Linked DNA regions of Macaca fascicularis. The protein of the gene in region 3 interacts with the protein of the main gene of each other region in a biochemical or structural test. Links are inferred from orthologs where the notes say so. Each region holds a gene or a part of one and is shown on either strand. Other genes may lie near its edges. The genes, in order: INSR, UBE2H and TRIM72.

Evidence for each region.
Region 1: the proteins of TRIM72 (region 3) and INSR form a complex in vitro, tested with the Homo sapiens proteins (2 studies listed by BioGRID). The link is inferred for Macaca fascicularis from reciprocal best matches to the Homo sapiens genes TRIM72 and INSR.
Region 2: the proteins of TRIM72 (region 3) and UBE2H form a complex in vitro, tested with the Homo sapiens proteins (2 studies listed by BioGRID). The link is inferred for Macaca fascicularis from reciprocal best matches to the Homo sapiens genes TRIM72 and UBE2H.

What each region holds. Positions count from the first base shown.
Region 1 is NC_088393.1:7,844,027-7,847,565, forward strand, and holds part of INSR (insulin receptor), read right to left. Parts: intron 2,512-3,539; coding exon 2,382-2,511; intron 916-2,381; coding exon 781-915; intron 1-780. UniProt on the Homo sapiens protein: Receptor tyrosine kinase which mediates the pleiotropic actions of insulin.
Region 2 is NC_088377.1:171,449,766-171,453,870, forward strand, and holds the start of UBE2H (ubiquitin-conjugating enzyme E2 H), read right to left. Parts: upstream 2,806-4,105; 5' UTR 2,387-2,805; coding exon 2,334-2,386; intron 1,404-2,333; exon of another isoform or gene 1,321-1,403; intron 1,159-1,320; exon of another isoform or gene 1-1,158. UniProt on the Homo sapiens protein: Accepts ubiquitin from the E1 complex and catalyzes its covalent attachment to other proteins. E2 ubiquitin conjugating enzyme that transfers ubiquitin to MAEA, a core component of the CTLH E3 ubiquitin-protein ligase complex.
Region 3 is NC_088394.1:29,402,401-29,406,603, reverse strand, and holds the start of TRIM72 (tripartite motif-containing protein 72), read right to left. Parts: upstream 2,839-4,203; 5' UTR 2,635-2,838; intron 2,214-2,634; 5' UTR 2,207-2,213; coding exon 1,817-2,206; intron 252-1,816; coding exon of another isoform or gene 34-251; intron 1-33. Other genes in the region: PYDC1 (pyrin domain-containing protein 1), read left to right, coding at 34-251. UniProt on the Homo sapiens protein: Muscle-specific E3 ubiquitin-protein ligase that plays a central role in cell membrane repair by nucleating the assembly of the repair machinery at injury sites.

The DNA.
Region 1 (3,539 bases), on a different chromosome or scaffold from region 3:
CTGCTCGCTGCAACTTCTGCCTCCCAGATTCAAGCAATTCTCCTGCCTCAGCCTCCTGAGTAGCTGGGATTACAGGTGCCCACCACCACACCCAGGTAATTTTTGTATTTCTAATAGAGATGGGGTTTCACCATGTTGGCCAGGCTGGTCTTGAACTCCTGACCTCAGGTGATCTGTTCGCCTCGGTCTCCCAAATTGCTGGGATTACAGCCACCCATTCCCAGCCACGTGACAAAATTTTCAGCGTATAAATAATTAACAGCCAAACATAGGTCTCGCTCCCCCATTCCCAGGTCTCCAGTTCCCTTCTCCCAAGATAACTACTGCTACGGGTTTCTTATGCAACATTCCAACTATACAATATGCAAGAAAATCTTACGATTTGCGAACACAAGCATGCCAGTAAAGACATAATATGTAAACAAGCACATATGTAAACACGTGTGCTTATAAAGATACGTAAACAAGGTGTACATGTGCCATATGCTGATGTACATGTAAACATACAGTATGCAAACATAAATACCTATGTAAATATATAATATGCAAACAAGCATACATGTAGCACATATGGAAACTCAAGTGTGTGTACCACCATGCAATATGCAAATGCAAACACGCATGTAAAGACAAGCTATGCAAACACAAACACACCTGTAACATATAGCATGCAAACACAGTGAGCGTGTAGGCATAGGAAAGGCAAAACCAAGCACACGTGTAAAGGGCAATACCCTTTCAATGCACACCTCACACACCTCAAACCCTTTCTACACTTACACTCTCTCTGGACAGTTGTCGGGTTGATCCAGATACCCTCCGTCCATGACAAATTTCAACACCTGTTCATTAGACAGGCCTTGGTAAGGCTGTTCTGCCAAGCTGGTGATTTCCCAAAGGACCACGCCAAAGGACCTGTCAATGACAGTTGAGAGTAGTAACAAAGAAACCATTCACACACAAGCAAACACACACGCAAACAAACACACACGCACACAGGTAAACTAGCACACAACACACGCAAACACACATGCAAACACATGCACATGCACACACACACACGCAAAAACACACACACAAACACGCACACAGGCAAACTAGCACACACATGCAAACACATATGCAAACGCATGCACGCACACAGGCAAACACACACAGGCAAACTAGCACACACACATGCAAACACACACGTGTGCACACATGTAAATACACAAACACACGCAAACACACGTGCACACACACGCAAATACACACAAACACAAACACACATGCACACAGGCAAACTAGCACACACGCAAACACACATGTACACACGCACGCAAACACACGCACACAGGCACACACATTTAATACACAAACACGCACACATATGCATACACATACACACGAACAGGCAAACACACGTGTGCACACACATGCAAACACACCCAAACACATGCACACACATGTGCACACATGCAAATACACGCACACGTGCACACACACATGCAAATTCACACACACACACGAACACGCACACAGGCAAACTAGCACACATGCAAACACATGCATGCACACACACACACACGTTTAATACACAAACACACAAACACACATACACATACACACAAACACACACACACACGCTCACACACATGCAAATACACAAACGCACACACACACACACAAACACGCAAACACATCTCTTGGTTTGCGAGAACATGGTTGGCCAGTTAATAAAACAATTCATGCTGCGGTCCATAAATGCTATGGAAGGAAAATCAATCTTGGGGCCCCCAAATCACTAAACTCAAGGAAAAAGTCCAGCTGGGAACTGCTTGAACAAACTTGCCTCCCACTCTATTCAAAGTCCCCCCTCTGCTCACTGAGAAACATTCATATCTGATTGGCTCCTTTGGAGAGGCTCATCAGAAACTCAAAGAATGCAACCATTTGTCTCTTATCTACCTATGACCTGGAAGACCCCTCCCCGCTTCGAGTTGTCCCGCCTTTCCAGACCCAACCAATGGTCATCTTGCATATGTTGATTGATGTCTCACGTCTCCCTAAAATATACGTATAAAACCAAGCTGTGCCCCGACCACCTTGGGCACATGTGGTCAGGATCTCCTGAGGCTGTGTCATGAGCACGTGTCCTCAACCTTGGCAAAATAACCTTCCTAAATTAACTGAGACCTGTCTCCGATTTTCGGGGTTCACAATGCCTACAGGATTAATTAGGACATAAGAGTAGCCATGGGAAGGTCCTCAGACAGGACGCTGCCTTCCTTTCCTTGATGGGGGGTCCAGGAGGATGGCAGGCTTCCTTCCCCCGCTCTTGGCTGTTACTAGCACCTGGAATTCAAGCCCAGCGTCCGTCCACCCCTCCACACACAACTCACCACATGTCAGAAGAAGTGGTAAAGACCCCATCCTTCAGGGACTCCGGTGCCATCCACCGTACAGGGAGCAGACCCTTGCCTCCTTTCCGGTAGTAATCCGTTTCATATATGTCTCTGGTCATTCCAAAGTCTGACAACACAAACGATTCACACGCTCTCAACCTCCAGCCTTGGTCCTACCATTTGCCATCTTGACTGCCCCACCTCTCACGGAGCCCTAAGAGGGGTTCACCTGGCCCTGGTGTGCGCTCACCTGGGCGGTAGCCAAATCCAGTAAGAAGGGATTCTGAGGGTGCACATGGGGAAGTGAAGGGGGAAGATGGGCTACTATTCAAAGGGAGGGAAAAGAAGGTACCAAATGACAAAGCAGCTACATTTTTCTTTCTTTTTCTTTTGTTTTTTTAGTATGGAGTCTCACTCTGTCCTTCAGGCTGGAGTGCGGTGGCGCGATCTCGGTTCACTGCAACCTCTACCTCCCTGATTCAAGCAATTCTCCTGCCTCAGCCTCCTGAGTAGCTGGGACCACAGATGTGCACCACCACACCCCTTTTTAAAAAAATTTTTCATAGAGATGGAGTCTCACTATGTTGCCTAGGCTGGTCTCAAACTCCTGGACTCAAGTAGTCCTCACACCTTGGCCTTCCAAAGCACTGAGATTACAGGCGGGGCCCCCGGTCCTACAAACATATCTTTTAAAGAAGTGAGTTTATCAATACATGCAATTAAATTACAGCCTGGTGGGGGGCAGTCCCCATCCAAAATCTTGCCCAGGCCAGGCACAGTGGCTCATGCCTGTAATCCCAGTGCTTTGGGAGGCCAACACGGGTGGATCATTTGAGGTCAGGAGTTTGAGACCATCCTGGCCAACACGGTGAAACTCCGTCTCTACTAAAAATACAAAAATTAGCTGGGTGTGGTGGCGCACGCCTGTAATCCCAGCTACTTGGGAGACTAAGGCGGGACAATCGCTTGAACCTGAGAGGTGGAGGTTTCAGTGAGCCGAGATCCTGTCACTGCACTCCAGCCTGGGTGACAGAGCAAGACTCCATCTCATAAAAAAGAAAAAAAAAGCCAGTGTGGTGGCTCACACCTGTAATCCCAGCACTTTGGGAGGCCGAGGCAGGAGGATCACGAGGTCAGGAAATCAAGACTATCCTG
Region 2 (4,105 bases), on a different chromosome or scaffold from region 3:
ACATTTTAACTTCCAAACTCCGTTATACCAGAAAATAAACACGAAACAAAGATAACCTCTGGCTTTTAAATCTTAAAACTGTTATCCTCCTATCTCAGATCTACAATTTTAAAGCGCCCCTGCTTTCTTTTGTCAGAAAGGAAGGAAGGTGGGGAAAGAACAGAAGGCCAATGCATCTTTGCCTTTCTTCATCTTCTACTAAAAATAAGCTATGAAATAAGCCACTTAGGGGGAGAAAAAAAAAGACACCCTGCTGTTCTTTGTCTGTTTTCCTCTCCCTCTCCACCCCCCACACCCCGACTCCTAAATGCGGTAATCATTCTAGATGCCACAACTACTAAATGAACAAAAGGCACTGTATGGAAAAGGCATCAGGTCAAGTTAGGCCCCCCTCTTTATCCTCAATCTTTTAAAAATATGTCTATGTACATAATTTGAGACTCTGACAATGATCACAAACAGCTGGAATTCTATCTCCCCACTCCATCCCAATTAAACATTAGGTAGAAATTCGCATTAGGTGTGACAGTAACTCTCAATTCAAGATAAAAATAAATCAGATTCTGCCACCATGTCATTTCCTAGTTTCTAAACAAAAATAAAACCTGAAACTGCTTTGTCTAAAATGTACACACAGTCAGTTAGTTACAAGTTTTCCTGCAGCCTTATGAAAAGCCAACATTACTGGTATCATTCACACATTTACAAAACAATCACAGCCACAAACAGCTCATAAAGAGTTGATTTCACTTGTGCCTGAACATATATTAGGTACGCTATACTTTATTAGTTGCTCCGCTCTAATCTCCCACCCCCAAAAAATTCTAAACTCCAAACCACAAACTTAGAAGTCTATCTACTGCTCCTAATTTCTAGCCAAGTTTTCCCTGAGCAAGGAGAAAAACACCTTATTTCTGAAAAGATTATTTTTTTAAAAATATCTTGCCCAGACAACTTCCCTCCCATCCCCCATTGCCAAACCATATGCAAAAACTACTTTTTTAAAACTTCAGCAAATTCCCTAACTGAATTTTTTGACAATAATCACTGACCTCTACAAAGAAGTAAAACAATCAAAAACAGCAACAAGTAAAAGGAAGAAAAAAGGAATTCACCTGAAGAATTTAGCCAAACAACTTGAGTTATATAAACAAAACCCTGCAACAGGGGGAAACGGTGGGGGGATGGGGTGAAGGGAGAGAAACAGGAGACAGGACTTTTAAACTGTGTTCCACAGTACCACCCCCTAAGCCCCCACTTTCCCCCCTCCCCAAGGACTAGCTGTTCAGAACTCTGGGCTCCCCCCACCCTCTAAATTACCCTTCAAAAAACAAATTCTCCATTTGTCACAGGAACCTTCGCGAATTTCTCTAGCTGGTCCTTAAATAATCAGTCTGGACTTCAACCAAAACCACTGCCTGAAGGGCTCTTATCAGTTATGGCTTTCCCACTGCAGCCTCCAGAGTGCAGAAAGTTGGGGGGAGGGGGCAGAAAATAAAGGGTGTCACTTGGCGACATCAGGGCAAGTATTCCCCCAAGAAGCTGACCCTCACAGAGGAAGTTTTGCCCAAGTGGCCAGTCCAGGGACTATTTTGTCCAGGAGCTCCTCTTTCCCCGGCTGTCATACCCACAACATGGAGGGTGGCTTGCTGGAGGGCCCAAGGGTCTTCATCACATACAACCATGGGTGGGACAGGCTTTGTCAGTGGAAAGGAAAACAGTAGGGTTCTCCCGGGGACCAGAAAGCTTAACAGGAGGGACTGACTGAAAACACACAGAGCTCTTTCTTAGAAGAGGGGGCCCTGAGCAGGCGACTCTCTTCCTAATATAGAAAGGAATTAGGGATAAAAGAGGTCGCTTGAATGACCCCAGTTCAAGCAGCATTGTGGTTGGAGGAAATGGGGGCATCTCAAGGAAGGGAGAAAGGCTTCCGTCTCGGGAATTTCTGCCTTGAGTCCCTCAATCCAGAGGGAGCAAACAGGAGAGAGAAACCCTGAAGATGGGCTCGGTGGTAGAGAGTGAGGCGACTGGTCCTGCAAAAAGAAATAAGGCCGTCTGGGAGTCCAAACGTCGCGAAGGAAAGTCACGGGCTGTGGGGATACAGGAAGAGCGAGCAGCAACGCGTATTTCGGGGTGCTGCGGGAAAAAGGCGAGCTGAAAAGGCTCTCGGCCCCTGGGAGGTGCCAAGGAGCCGCCGTAGGCACTGGGGGAGGAGGGGAGTCTCGGACAGTGGCCTGGAGTGCCCCAAGGCCTTTGCAGTGGTTTCGGGGGTGCCCTGGGCATCCCCACACCGCCCCCCACACACATCCCGAATTCCCCTCCACGAAGGATACAGCTTGACCACGTCCGTGTCCATCCGCCTCTTGCCCGGACTGGGAGATGACATGGTGTCGCCGCCGCCTCCCCGCCGCCGCCTCTCTCCCTTCCTCGGCCCGTCTGTCACGGGCCCCGGGCCCCGGCTCTGAGGAGCCCGCGGCCGCGCCGGCTCCTCGGTGGAGGTGGCAACACCCCCGCGGTCCCGGCGGTCCCGTCAGCCGCCGCCGCCGCCCCCCGCACGGGGGAACACCGGGCACTGTCCGGCCGGGTGGGGGTGGGGACCCCGCGGCGCCCGGCTCGGGCAGCCCCTCTCTGGCTGTGGTTCCGCCGCGGCCCGGCCCCGGCACTCCTCTGCGCCGCGCGACGCTCCCTCCTGCCTGCTCTGGCTCGCTCGCCTGTTTCCCACTCACCCTCTGACCGGCTCCTAGCAGCCTCCACTACAAGCGGACGACTCCTGCTCAGTCGGCCTCCCTACCCCAGCCTCGCTCTGGGCGCCGTGACGTCACAGAGGTGACGTCATCGGAGGGGGCGGGCCTGGACGCTGAGAGGGGTGGGGCGCCGCTGCGGCGTGGGCTTTCCCGGTGCATTCTGGGAGTTGTAGTTCCTCTTTCTCCGGCTGTCTCACACCCTCTGTCCCCTCCCCCAACTTCCCCACCTACTTCATCGCTCAACTGCCAGTGTCGTTATCATCATCCTAAACGATAATAGTAAATAATGGCAATATTATTAAATGCGTGGATTTTAGGTTAACGAACCTCCACACACACTCTGTTTAACAAGCTGTTAATTTCTTTGATTTGGAGGAGGCCAAGGTAGCAATTACTCAGGCACCAAAATCTGGAAATTCCCACACCAGCAGGTTCCTTGCACTCCGCTCCCTCCTTGGCTGGAGAGAATTTGTTTCCAAGGATTGTAGACCACAGCAAGGCTTCTTCAGGCTTCAATACCAGGGTTCATCACAATCCACGTGTCTACGGGCACTATTTCAAAGATTAGAGTTTACACAGCAATGTGGTAAGGTCAGAAATAATTTAGTACTACTATCCTTATTCTACAGAGCATGAGGCAACTTCGCAAAGTGTGTGAACCTCCTACACCAATCTTAAATACTTCATTCATTCAATAAATATTTATTAAGCACTTCCTATGTGCTAATCACCTTGCTGGACATGAGGATATAATGGTGAACTAAGAAAGACTAAATTTAGCCGGGCGCAGTGGCTCACGCCTGTAATCCCAGCACTTTGGGATGCCGAGGCAGGAGGATCACCTGAGATCGGGAGTTCAAAACCAGCCTGGCCAACGTGGTGAAACCCCATTTCTACTAAAAATACAAAAATTAGCCGGGCGTGGTGGCGGGCGCCTGTAGGCCCAACTACTCGCAAGACTGAGGCAGGAGAATCGCTTGAACCCAGGAGGCAGAGGTTACAGTGAGCCAAGATCGTGCCACTGCACTCCAGCCTGGGCGACAGAGTGAGACTCTGTCTCCAAAAAAAAAAAAAGGAAAAGGAAGACTAAATTTACACAGCCCCCCAGTATAGTCTGTGGGTCTATAGTGTCAGCATCACTTGGGAACTTGTTAGAAATGCCGCTAGAGCTTCACTTCAGATCTACTGAATGAGAATTTGCAGTTTTAACAAGGTCCCCAGGTGATTCTTTTTTTTTTTTTTTTTTTTTTTTGAGACGGAGTCTCGCTCTGTCACCCGAGCTGGAGTGCAGTGGCCGGATCTCAGCTCACTGCAAGCTCCGCCTCCCGGGTTTACGCCATTCTCCTGCCTCAGCCTCCTAA
Region 3 (4,203 bases):
AAAAGAAAAAAGAAAGAAAATAAAAGAAAGAAAAATTCAAGATGAAACTGGGGACTGTGCCACTGCGCGAGGGCTTTGAGCGTATCCCGCGGGGCGCACTCAGGCAGCTAGACATCGTGGACCTCACCGACCAGCTGGTCGCCTCCTACTACGAGGACTACGCAGTCGAGTTCGTCGTGGCCGTGCTGCTCGACATGGGCATGCTGGAGGAGGCGGCACAGCTGCCGCGGGCCGCGCGAGGGCCACTCTGAGCTGGTACGTGATCTAGGGACCCAACCCCGCTTCCTCGCCAAGGACCCAGGCGTCGGGTCCCGCCCAGAGCCTTCCTGTTCCCCTCCTCCTTCAGGGTCCCTCCTGGGGTCTTCCCTCAGACCTCCGGCCAGCCCCTCCCGGCGGCGAAGGGCTGGGCTGCAGCGAACCCCGGTGGGCTGCATCTCGCCCCACTGCCCCCTTCCAGGCTCCTGGGCTGCCTGGGCCCTGTTCCGTTTCATGGGTTCCGTGCTCTCTTCGCAGATAAAGACGGGCAAGGTTGGGCGAGGTTGGAATGCGCTCAAAGCCCTCGCGCAGTCGCACAGTCCCCAGCTTCATCTTGAATTTCTTTCTTTTCTTTCTTAAGCACAGGTGTGCTGGGATGGGAGGGCTCCCGGGAGGAGGCTCCTGCCCTGAGCTAGGAGACCACCAGCTAGGCCTGGGCTGAACTGGGCCAGGCAGGAGCTGGCGGGACTGAGAGGCTGGGTCCTTGGGAAGCCCGGGGGCCTCGAATACCAACGAAAGGACGGTAGTCTACCCCCTCTAGGAGGCAGGCCAAGGGAAGGAGTAGTGCAACGCCTGTGAAGCCAGCCCCGCGCGCGCACCAGTAGCGTAAGACGACGGCAGTGTCTCCACCTCGGGGACCAAGGACGCCTCCGTGCCTCCAGACCCCGCCTCCTCCAGCCCCTGCACCTGTCATTTCTTCTTCCACTGCCCAATAAATATTCATGACAGATTTTCCTGGGGCTGCGCGCACACGTGCCCGCCGGTAGCTACACGCGTGTGCTTTTGCCACACGTATAGCACGCACTAGCCAGTGTGCGTGGGTCTCTATTTGCCTCTGTCTGGGTGTCTGCTGAGTACCTCGGGACGCACACAACCACGTGTGGGCTCCCAAGGCGTTCGGGACTTCCAGCTCCACCCAGAAAAACATCCTGGACGGGGCTCTCGGTGCCACCCTGGGTCCGCGCACGCAAGTGCAGATCCCGGTTGCCTGGCCCTTCCAGTCTCCCTTTTGGTGAGGCCCCGCCTGGGGACCGTGAGGCCAGCCAAAGTTCCGAAGTTTCAGGGGTGCGTGGGCCTCCGCTGAGCACCACAGGACAGCCCTGGCCCGGCCGCCTGGCTCGGCCCGGAACGCCGCGCCTCCATTCCAAAGTGGGCCAGCGCCGCGCAGGGAGCCTGCCCGACCGGCCCACCTGGTGAAGGAATGAGCGCGTGGGCCGTAGGGGCTGGTCAGTCGCTGCTCCGCCTGGTTCCGGCCCGCCCATCAGACCAGCCCTGGGGCTCCGCCCTCCCATCTCCAGGTCCCTCTAGAGGCTAAGGCCGGGAACCTAGGTTTGCTCAGCCCCCTTCTCGCCAGTCTCCGTCCCTGCGCGGCTTTCCTCTGTCAGCCCCGCCTTCAGCTCCTCAGACACTCTTTCCTGGCTGCTTCGCCCCGCCCCCGACCCCGGCAACTCCAGGTCCTCTTTAGAGACTCAGAATCCAAATCAGTACAGCGACCTCCCCAGCGGCCAGCCCCCGCGCCGCCGAACAACCCCTCCGACCCCGATGCGCTCGGATCCCGCACCTTGAGGCGTGCGTGGGCCTCGGCGGCGGGCAGCAGGCGATGACCGCGGTGCGAGCCGAGTGAGGCGCACACTCCGCACACCAGCGCGCGGTCCTGCTCACAGTAGATGCTCAGCGGGTCCAGGTGCTCCTCGCAGTGGCCCTGCGGCACCTGGGCCAGCCCCTCCACCAGGCGCGCCAGCTGCAGGTTGGTGCTGAGTGCCTGCGGCCGCGTGGGGGCCTGACAGCAGGGGCAGAGAACGGTGCCATCCGCCGCCGGTTCCCCGGCCACGCGGCCCAGGCAGGCGCGACAGAAACTGTGGCCGCACTCGGCTGTCACGGGCGCGTCGAACAGCTGCAGGCACAGCGGGCAGGACAGCTCCTGGTGCAGGAGGCCGGGCGCAGCCGACATGGCGGGCCTGGGTGGAGGAGGAGTCGGTTAGGGGGACCCACGGCGCCGTGCTCCCGGCCCAGCCCTGGCCCAGGCCGGGCCCGCCGCGCCGCAGGGAGAAGCCGCAGCCTGTAAAGACCTCCCATCCTACACTGGATGGGGCTCTGACCGCCAAAGGGGAAGAGGAACTCGGTCTCAGGTCCAAAAGTAGCCTCCACTGCAATTCTCAGCTCCAGCTCCAAAAATATGCTCTATTGGTCAACCCCAGTTCCTGAACACAAGCCCAGGTCCTAGCCCACTGTCCTTGCCCTCGCCTTAGCCCCAGGCTTCAGCCTCTGACCTCAGCCCTGGCCCCAAATTCTCCAGAGCCCCCACTTCGAGACTCCCCTCCCCCACTTTACCAAGATCTCCAGCCCTCCCCTCCCCCCCTTCCAGCCCACGGGACTCACAGGTCTGGTTGGAGATCTTAGGCTGAAAGACACTGGAAGGAGGACCGGTAAGGGTCGAGCCGAGCTGGACTGGGGTCAGGGCTGTGTCCAAAGATCTGAGACAAGCAGCAGGCTCCAAGCAAGGACAGGGACTCACAGGGGAAGCTGGCAGTGGACACCACGCGTGATGGGCACACAGTGCTCAGTGGAAGACCCTCCCAGACTGAGCCATGGCTCCAGGACTATATTTAGCTGCCCTGCCCAATCCCTCCCATCACTTCCGGAAACCGTTCTAAAAGTGAGAGCTGAGTAGTCCCCGTGCACGCATCACATGCCAGGGCCACCTGTCTTGGCCCATCCACTGTTCCCTCCCCAGCCAGCCTGTAGCCAGAGCTCAGAGCCAGCGGGGAGACAGGACCTTTCTCACCACAGAAAAGACAGAAAATTGAGGGGGGATCTCCCCTTTCTCCCCCAACTCCCACCTCCACACTCTCCAGCTCCTTCCTCCTTGCTGGCAGCCGCTCCCCAGCCTGTTGCCCATTCATTCCCCAAGTTTATGGCTGACCAAGGTCACCCTGGCAGGATTATCCCACCTGCAGGAGGGCAGGACCTCACCCCACTCTGAAATGTTTTCTTCCTCCAGAGCTGAGGGGAGGGTCTTCTCCAAGTTGGTCTCTCTAGTACACCCAGGACAAGCCTTGGGGCAAAGTAGGCCTCTCTAAATGCTTGGAGAATTAATGACAGAGAGAGATTGAATAAATGAATGAACTGAATCCAGAGCCTGCAGCCCAGAACTCAATTCTGCCCTGGTTCCTGTATGTGTATCTTTCAAATCTCAGCTGAAATTTCATTTAAGTGGCACTGGGATAACTGGCTAGACATATGCAAGAGAATGAAAGTGGACCCCTGCCTTTCACCATATAAAAAAATTAACTCAAGATGGGTTAAAGACTTAAATGTAAGACTTCAAACCATAAAAATTGTAGAAGAAACCCCAGGAGAAATACCATTCTGGATATCAGCCTTGGTAAACTATTCGTGACTAAGTCCTCAAAAGCAACAAAAACAAAAATTGTTAAGTGGGGCCTCATTAAACTAAAGAGCTTCTTCACAGCAAAAGCAAAAGCAACTATCAACAGACAGACAACTGAAGAATGGAAGAAAATATTCACAAACTATGCATCCAACAAAGATCTACCATCCAGATTATATAAGGAAACTAAACATTTCAACAAGCAGAAAACAACTCCATTAAAAAGTTGGCAAGGGCCAGGTGCGGTGGCTCACACCTGTAATCCCAGCATTTTGGGAGGTCCAGGCGGGTGGAACACTTGAGGTCAGGAGTTTGAGACCAGTCTGGCCAACGTGGTGAAACCTCGTCTCAGAAAAATACAAAACTGGCCGGGCGCGGTGGCTCAAGCCTGTAATCCCAGCACTTTGGGAGGCCGAGATGGGTGGATCACGAGGTCAGGAGATCGAGACCATCCTGGCTAACACAGTGAAATCCCTTCTCTACTAAAAAATACAAAAAACTAGCCGGGTGTAGTGGCGGGTGCCTGCAGTCCCAGCTACTCGGGAGGCTGAGGCAGG